Linked DNA regions of Oryctolagus cuniculus. The protein of the gene in region 2 purifies or fractionates together with the protein of the main gene of each other region. This does not show direct contact. Links are inferred from orthologs where the notes say so. Each region holds a gene or a part of one and is shown on either strand. Other genes may lie near its edges.

Region 1 (3,650 bases), on a different chromosome or scaffold from region 2:
CGAGAGCTACAGAACAGCTTGTCAGAAGCTTACGAGGCTGTCACTGCCTGCCAGCATCTGTCCCTAATCCCTGATTAATCCTCCCAGTGAGACTATCCACAAGTGTCACAACCTCCTGGCACGGGGCTAGGCTAGTGTTCCAGGAGGGTCACTCAAAGACACGATTCAGGATGGTAAGAAACAGGTGGTTTCTGGTTATAAGGGGAGCTGAAGGGCGTTATCCTTCTGGTCTTTGGAGGACCTGCCTGAAGGCTACACAACAGAAGAAATAAAGACAAATGCAGGCAAATAAAACAAGCTCTGACATTTTTAATTAAGCTGATCTGCCACTGCCAACTTCCAGCATTTCTAGCAGAGGCCTAACTAATACCCAGGGCTTACCCGGATGCTCATTCACTACTCCCTGAACTGGGCTGCACCAGAAAGTGGAGCCGTGAGGTCTTGCAAACAGGGGGATCACTTTAGGAAGTGACCCTGTGGGGTGTAGGTGTGCACTAGACAGAGGTGTCAGAGCTCTGAGGCAGAAAGAGAAATGTGCTCTAAACGGGGTGCGTTCTGTCATGTTACAGGGGTTAACAACGACAATGGCTGGAATAATAGGTGGGCAGAGTGTCCATGAGGTGGGGTTCAGTTACACTGAAGATTAGACATATAAAAACAAAGAATGACTACCTTCAGGACAAGCGACCACACTGCCAATCACCCAGGCTTCTTCCTGGTGCTGCCGAATGTCCCTCAGAATCCACTCTGTCTGATCCTTTGATACCACGAGGGCAGCCCCAACCCCACAGTTAAATGTTCTGGCCATCTCTTCTTCAGAGAGCTGCCCTTCCTGCTGTAACCATGAGAAGATCCTAGGGATCCTCCAGGTCCGGGCATCTGCAACAAGCAAGAATTGTCTGATTAGCTTCTTGGCTCCTACAAAAGTACAAAGTTACACACATATGGAGACAGAAATTACAATCAGGCTTTGCTGTTTCACATAGGACTAAAGTATAACTGGCCTTTCAGAACTTCTCTTTTTGGTGGGAAGAATACTTTTTTTGTTTAAAATATTTATTTATTTATTTGAAAGGCAGAGATAGATAGAGATAGAGATAGAGATAGAGAAAGAGAAAGAGAGAGAGAGAGAGAGAGAGAATCTGCTATCCACTGGTTCATTCCCCAAATGACTACAATGGCCAGGGCTGGGCCAGGCCGAATCCAGGAGCCAGAGCTTCTTCCAGGTCTCCCACATTCATGGCAGAGGCCCAAGGACTCGGGCAATCTCTACTGCTTTCCCTAGCACATTAGTAGAGAGCCAGATTGGAAGTGGAGCAGCTGGGACTCAAACTTGCGCCAGTATGGGATGCTGGCAATGCAGGCAGAGGCTTACTTAATCTATGCTACAGCACAGGTCTTGGGAGGTATACATTTGTTATCTTAGAAATTAAGAACCTTGTTTGTTGACAGGCTCAGTATTCACAACTGAGTGAGGTTTTCTGCTATGTGAACTAACTAGACCCTCAGAAGTCCCCTGATGGATTAGATGTGTGACCTTCAGTAAAGGATGGTTTACCACCTTTCCGTGAATGGTTAGCTGGGTCTTGGTGATGACCAAAATATACTCTGTATGATGTAAAACTAGGTGGCTTAGAGGAGATACATACACAATTCAAGAAAAGTCATGCTTCAGAAAAGGTTTAAGTTCAACATGCTGTGTATACCTCTGATTTATATTTAAAAATTTACTTAAAACATCTTTGAGAGGCAAGAGAGAAAGACAGACAGATAGCGAGGGAGTGAGCCAACTCTCATGGCCAGTTTCTCCCCAAATATCTGCAATGCTCACAGCTGGAGCAGGCTGAAGCTGGAAACCCCCACATAAGTGGCAGAAGCCCAATTACTTGAGCCATCGTTGCTGCCTTCCAGGGTCTGCATTAGCAAGAGGCTGGAATCAGAAGACAGAGCTTGGCATAGAACTCAGCACTCTAACATGGGATGTGGTATATTAACTAGCACCTTTCCTGCTATGCTAAATGCATACTTCCCTAATTTTTCATGATTTTTTTCCAAAAGTTAGAGAGAATGAAAGACAGAAAGATAGAGAGATTCTGTCCACTTCTTCACTCCCCTCATGTCTACAAGAGCCTGGACTGGGTCAGGCTGAAGCCAGGAACTCCACCCAGGTCTCCCACGTGGGTGGCAGGGAGGATTGGACTAGTAGTAGCCTGGACTGGAACCAGCACTCCAATATGGGTTGTGGGAATCCTAAGTGGCAGCTTAACTTGCTGCGCCACGATGCCCACTCCACTGGGAAATTATGTATGTGATCTTCCTCGGTTTCTATTCCCTCAAGTCAATTCTTATTAGTTGACTATGATGGGTAGAACAGTTCCTCTGACTGCGTCTCTATCCTAAAAAGCAGAGAGAAAAAACCCTGTCCTTCACTCTGTCACGTGGCTAAATTTTTCTACTTTCCCTTTCACCAGTAAATGTCCTGGAATAGGCATCTCTGCTCAGTCTCTACATCTGTCACCCATTTCCACACAAGAATCGGTTGGTGGTCTCTCTCCAGTAGGCTGCTTTCCGGGAAACTCTGCAGTACACATTGGCCAGTTTCTGGTCCTCCTAGACCTCTGTGCTGCTGAGCAGTGCCCCATCCGAATCCCTTCACTGGGCGTGACGATGGTACGCTGACATGCTTCATCCCCTGCTTCTGACTGTGGGATGACCTTCTGGCCCCTCCCCTCTCTTGGCTACAACTATTACTATGTGCACATGACCACCCAACTTACTTGCAGTCTGCTTTTCATTTCTGCTCATAAACACTGAAGATGTAAACAATCGTATGCTCACTTTCTACTCCAAACCTACTCTTTCCCCTCAATTAATGACGTTACCATCCACTCCCCTATTTAACTAGCAACGCAGGACTTCTTTTCCCTTCTAAGCATGAAATGATTCTCAAATCTATTTTCTTTTTCTGTCATGCTTCAGGTCCTCTGATTTCCTACGTGAACTACTTAATAGCTTTACGGCATGAGGGTTCATGATAGAACTTGAAGTTACCAACACTCTTTGAAGATCTGCACAGAGCACTGATTTTAATTTTTTCAAGAATTATTTACTTGAAAGGCAGAATGTCAAAGAGAGAGGGAGAGAAAGCGAGAGGGGGAGACATCTTCCGTTTGCTGGTTCACGCCCCAAATGCCCACATTAGCCAGGGATAAGCCAGGCTGAAGCCAGGAGCCAGGAACTCCATCCTGGTATACCATATGGGTGGCAGAGACTCAAATACTTGGGACATCTTTGGCAGCCTTCACAGGCAGATTAGCAAGGAGCCGGATCAGAAATAGAGCAGTCAAGACTTGAACCAGTGCTCTGATATGAGATGCTCACTGCAGAGCACTGCATTTTTACATTAGCCAATCGCATAGGAAGATTTTCTGCCTTACAAATGTGGATAATAAAGCAAAGTGGTAGGGTCAGGACTGTGGTGCAGTGGGTAAAGCCACCATCTGCAGAGGTGGGTAAAGCCACCATCTGCAGAGCTGGCATCCCAGATGGACGCTGCTCCACTTATCCAGTCCCTGCTAATGTGCCTGAGAATGCGGTGGAAGATGGCTCAAGTCTGTGGGCCCTTCACTCATGTGGGAGACTCAGAAGCT
Region 2 (3,750 bases):
AGCACTCAAAGGGGCTCAGCTCCAGGAGAGCACCCCAGGGGGTGCCGCACCCCTCCGAGCAGCTGCCTCTGCAGCAGGGGTGCTGGGCTCTGGTCCTCTCACCAAGGTTGGAGATGAGGTCGGTTTTGAGGTCCCCTGGTATTACCTTCCCAAGTTCTCCTTTTACAGTCCCTACTGGGACGCCCTGACATTTTGGTTGGTTCCTAGTGCTCCTTCTTTTACAAACTACACTTTGTAGAACTGATTAGATTACCTTGTTTATTTAATGTGGGTTTGTGCCTTTTTGTCTCAATCTTCCAATACAGGTATATTGGGAAAAAACAGCAGTCTAATAAAATCCTAGACAGAGCTGTCTGGAGTCCAGCTAATTATTGGTGATGTTTTGATGCCCATTTTACAACTTAGATAGTCTCAAACTCTTACTGATGTCCCCCATTTTACCAGGGCAGGGTAAGGAAGAGGTTCAATGATGTCTCTTAAATTGCACGGGTGAATTTCCATAAATTAAGACGACCTTTGTCAACGCACTTGACACAGCTCGGCTGAATGTGATGCAGCCATGTTCTGCCCGTTCCCACGGCGCTTCCCGCTCCCCACACCTCCCCGTTCACTAGCCAGCAGAACAGTTCAGACAGCTCTGAACCTGGCTGCGGGGCCTGCGGACCGATGCAGCCCGTTTCTTAGATTGTGTGCACCTCCATCCCCGCCCCCTTAGACTGAGCCAAGGAGTGAACTCGCAGTGAATCTTGAGCGCTGTCCGTCATCTCTGTGGTGCCTGGTCTTCAGTGCAGACCAAATAGAAGCAGTGACTTATTTTCCCTGAGTCCAGGAACCCGGAGGCGTCCCGTGTGTAACAGGCAAACCAATGAGTTTGAAAAGCGAAGGCCACTTGAAGGTGGAATAGATTAGAACCAGGAATGGCCGTGCGAGCGCGGCGTGGAGCCGGGGGTTACCTGCGGTTGGGGGACCCGGGTCATAGGCGGGACAGTGGCTACGTGGCCGAGCACGTCTCTGCGTGGCGGGAAGCTGGAGGACAGCACAAAACCCAGGCCCGCAGACAGACCCCGAGCGAGGCACCGGCGGCCCCGAGACGCGGGCGCGGCAGCGACTTCCGCCGGAAGACGGCTCTCCCGCCGCCTCGCGCGAGGCGGGCCCGGGTGCCGGCGGCGGGCAGTGTTACGTCGTGCGCTGAGGACGGGCAGGCCACGCCTCGCTGACGCCCGGCTCCCCGGGCCCTTTTCTCTCAGCCTCTGGCGGCGCCGCGCTCGCTGGAGGGTCCCGCCTCCTTCGCCGAGCCGCACCACCCAGAGCCCTGGGTTTGCTCGAGGTCCGCCCCTTACGGGAGCCGAGGCGGACGGCCAGAATCCGGAAGAAAAACAGTCGGCGAGAGTGAGGCGGCCGAGCCATGGAGCTGGACCAGGAGGAGTCCAGCAGCGAGGAGCCGGAGCAGTCAGACGTGAGCCTGCCGGACGACCCCGAGAGCGTGATGGCCTCCGTGAGCGAGCAGAAGCCCAGCGAGCCGAATGTCTGGAAACTCAGGTGAGGAAGACGCCTGCTCGGGCCGGTCGCTGCCTTCAGCCGCACCGGGGCTGCGGACCTGGGGGCTGGGGACTGACCAGACTGGAAGGGAGGGGAACAGGCTTCTGCGGCTGCCCTCACCCAGAGGCCCTCCCACATTCTCCCAGGCCAGGGTCTAGTGGGATTTACTGGACCTGAGCCTCGCGCCCCCTCTGAACTTGGGCCGCCGAGCGCGTCCCCACTGGAACACTCCAAGCAGGGCAGGGGTGGCCCAGTTAGCAGGTGTCTGGAGCAGACAGTTGTGTTGGGCTGTCGCGGTGAAATCTCATTCCTGTTTGTGATCGGCACATGCATCATGAGGTCTGCCTGATCCCGTTATGACCTCCGGAAATCCGAAATCGGATTAAGATAAGAACCTTCGGGGAAGTGGTGTCGCCTGGTCTCATGCCTGCTCTTTCAGGAGGAACGGGGCTAATCACCCACTTGGTGGGAATCACGAGTGTGGATTTGCGCCTAAGCGTCCGACCTGAGTGTGGGGACAAGAAATCCCAACTCTGGTCCCCACGCACTTAGAGCAGGTGCCTGGGAAAACAAGGGGCCTTTGAGTGAAAGGGCTTGCTTTCTTAATCCTCTGTCGGACAGCAGGGGGAGATCGTAAACAGATGAAATACTTTGTCCACCGGGTGCCTGGGAAGGTGGGCTTGGAGTTGTTTGTTTATATTCTTGGGGAGGGGCAGGAAATTGCTTTAAGCCGGCCAAGAATTTCCTTCTGGTGGAGCAGAGGCATATGGGAGCGGCCCCCTTCCCCCCATCTCCTAGGCTGGACCTTCCACAGCAGCGGGTCTTCCTCCTCTCGGTGCACCTGGGACTGGTGCAGCCTGCTGGCTGTTCGTGAACTCTGCGGGATTTGCAGCTCCTGGGGCTGCTTGGGCAGATTTCTGTTAACTGCTCTGTGTGCAAGTCCCTCCTTGCGCCGAGGCTCTGAGAGCCACCGAATTGGCTCTTGCTCCCCTAGAATCTGTGTGGAGCAGAGGTGGAGAATGGCACCCGAAGATGACTTTCCCAGGGACAGGGAGATTGGAGAGAGATGTTGAGAGACACTTAGAAGTTCTCCTTGGGCTCCCTAAGTGCTTCCCAGAATTGGTTGTGCTGCGGGAATCTGCTGGGAGCAAGTGGAGGAAGGGAGCGTGGCGTCTCTCCGGCGGTGCTGTAGTGCTGAGGCCTTCGCAAGGTGCAGTCTGAGCTCTCCTCCTCCCGTCTTTCCGTCCCAGTCTTCCTGGTGGTTTCCAAACTCCCGGGGTTGAGACGTGGGGGCCGGAAGTCGCTGTCAGCCATAGATGCTGGCTGAGGTGAGGTGTGGATGGCTGGTGCAGCTGGTGCATTTCGGGAAACCCTGGCTGCCCAGCCCACAAGCTCTGGGCTCCGTTTGGCAGCTCTGCTAATGTGAACAGCAAGTGTGGGCAGCTGTGGGTCTGTATGGAGCAGCCAGTCTGGGGCACAGATGTCCTGCTCCGGGGGACACAGGTGAAGACCCAGGGCTTGTAGTCCAGTACCTCTGCTTCCTCCATCAGATGCAGAAACGCGTGTTTTCCATGTGACTGCAGCGGTGTGGGGGGCCACCGTGTCTGTTGTCCTCCTTCCTCCATGACGCTTTCTGCGCCCCTTCCACAGTATGCATGTCGTGACCTGGAATGTAGCCTCCGCAGCACCCCCTAAAGACCTCAGTGACCTGCTTCAGCTGAACAACCAGGACCTGGACCTGGACATGTATGTTATTGGGTAGGTGTCCGCAGGGCCCCTTCTGCCAGCCCTGTGTCTGAGATCAGCCTGACCGGTCTCAAGCTGTGCCCACGGAGAACAGCAGTAACCTGTGGAGGCGGAAGGCAGGGAGCTGTCAGCCCGAGTGGGGTCGGTGCTGTGGAGGCTGCAGACAAGGAGCTGTCAGCCCAAGTGGGGTTGGTGCTGTGTCTGCTGTCCGAGGGCAGCAGTGGCAGGGAACTGGAGGCCGGTAGCCAGGCAGCCAGGGAGGGAGGAAGCGTGGTCACCGACGGAGGCTTCAGGTCCTCTGAGGGCAGTGCTGAATGTCTGTGGCAGAGGCTCTGCCCTCGGCCGGGGACAAGCCTCTGACCTGGGGTGGTCAGTTTGCAGGAAATGAACTCTGGGATTGTAAGCTTCATTTCCGATACTGCCTTTGAAGACCCGTGGAGCAGTTTCTTCATGGATGTGCTTGCC

Evidence for each region. The genes of interacting proteins can lie anywhere in the genome.
Region 1: the proteins of INPP5K (region 2) and GART purify together in Homo sapiens (co-immunoprecipitation; 3 studies listed by BioGRID and IntAct, counting the BioPlex papers as one, with this or other methods). This does not show direct contact. The link is inferred for Oryctolagus cuniculus from reciprocal best matches to the Homo sapiens genes INPP5K and GART.

What each region holds. Positions count from the first base shown.
Region 1 is NC_091435.1:11,488,622-11,492,271, reverse strand, and holds part of GART (trifunctional purine biosynthetic protein adenosine-3), read right to left. Parts: intron 880-3,650; coding exon 673-879; intron 1-672. UniProt on the Homo sapiens protein: Trifunctional enzyme that catalyzes three distinct reactions as part of the 'de novo' inosine monophosphate biosynthetic pathway.
Region 2 is NC_091448.1:47,058,271-47,062,020, reverse strand, and holds the start of INPP5K (inositol polyphosphate 5-phosphatase K), read left to right. Parts: upstream 1-1,215; 5' UTR 1,216-1,405; coding exon 1,406-1,539; intron 1,540-2,283; exon of another isoform or gene 2,284-2,749; intron 2,750-3,189; coding exon 3,190-3,297; intron 3,298-3,659; coding exon 3,660-3,750. UniProt on the Homo sapiens protein: Inositol 5-phosphatase which acts on inositol 1,4,5-trisphosphate, inositol 1,3,4,5-tetrakisphosphate, phosphatidylinositol 4,5-bisphosphate and phosphatidylinositol 3,4,5-trisphosphate.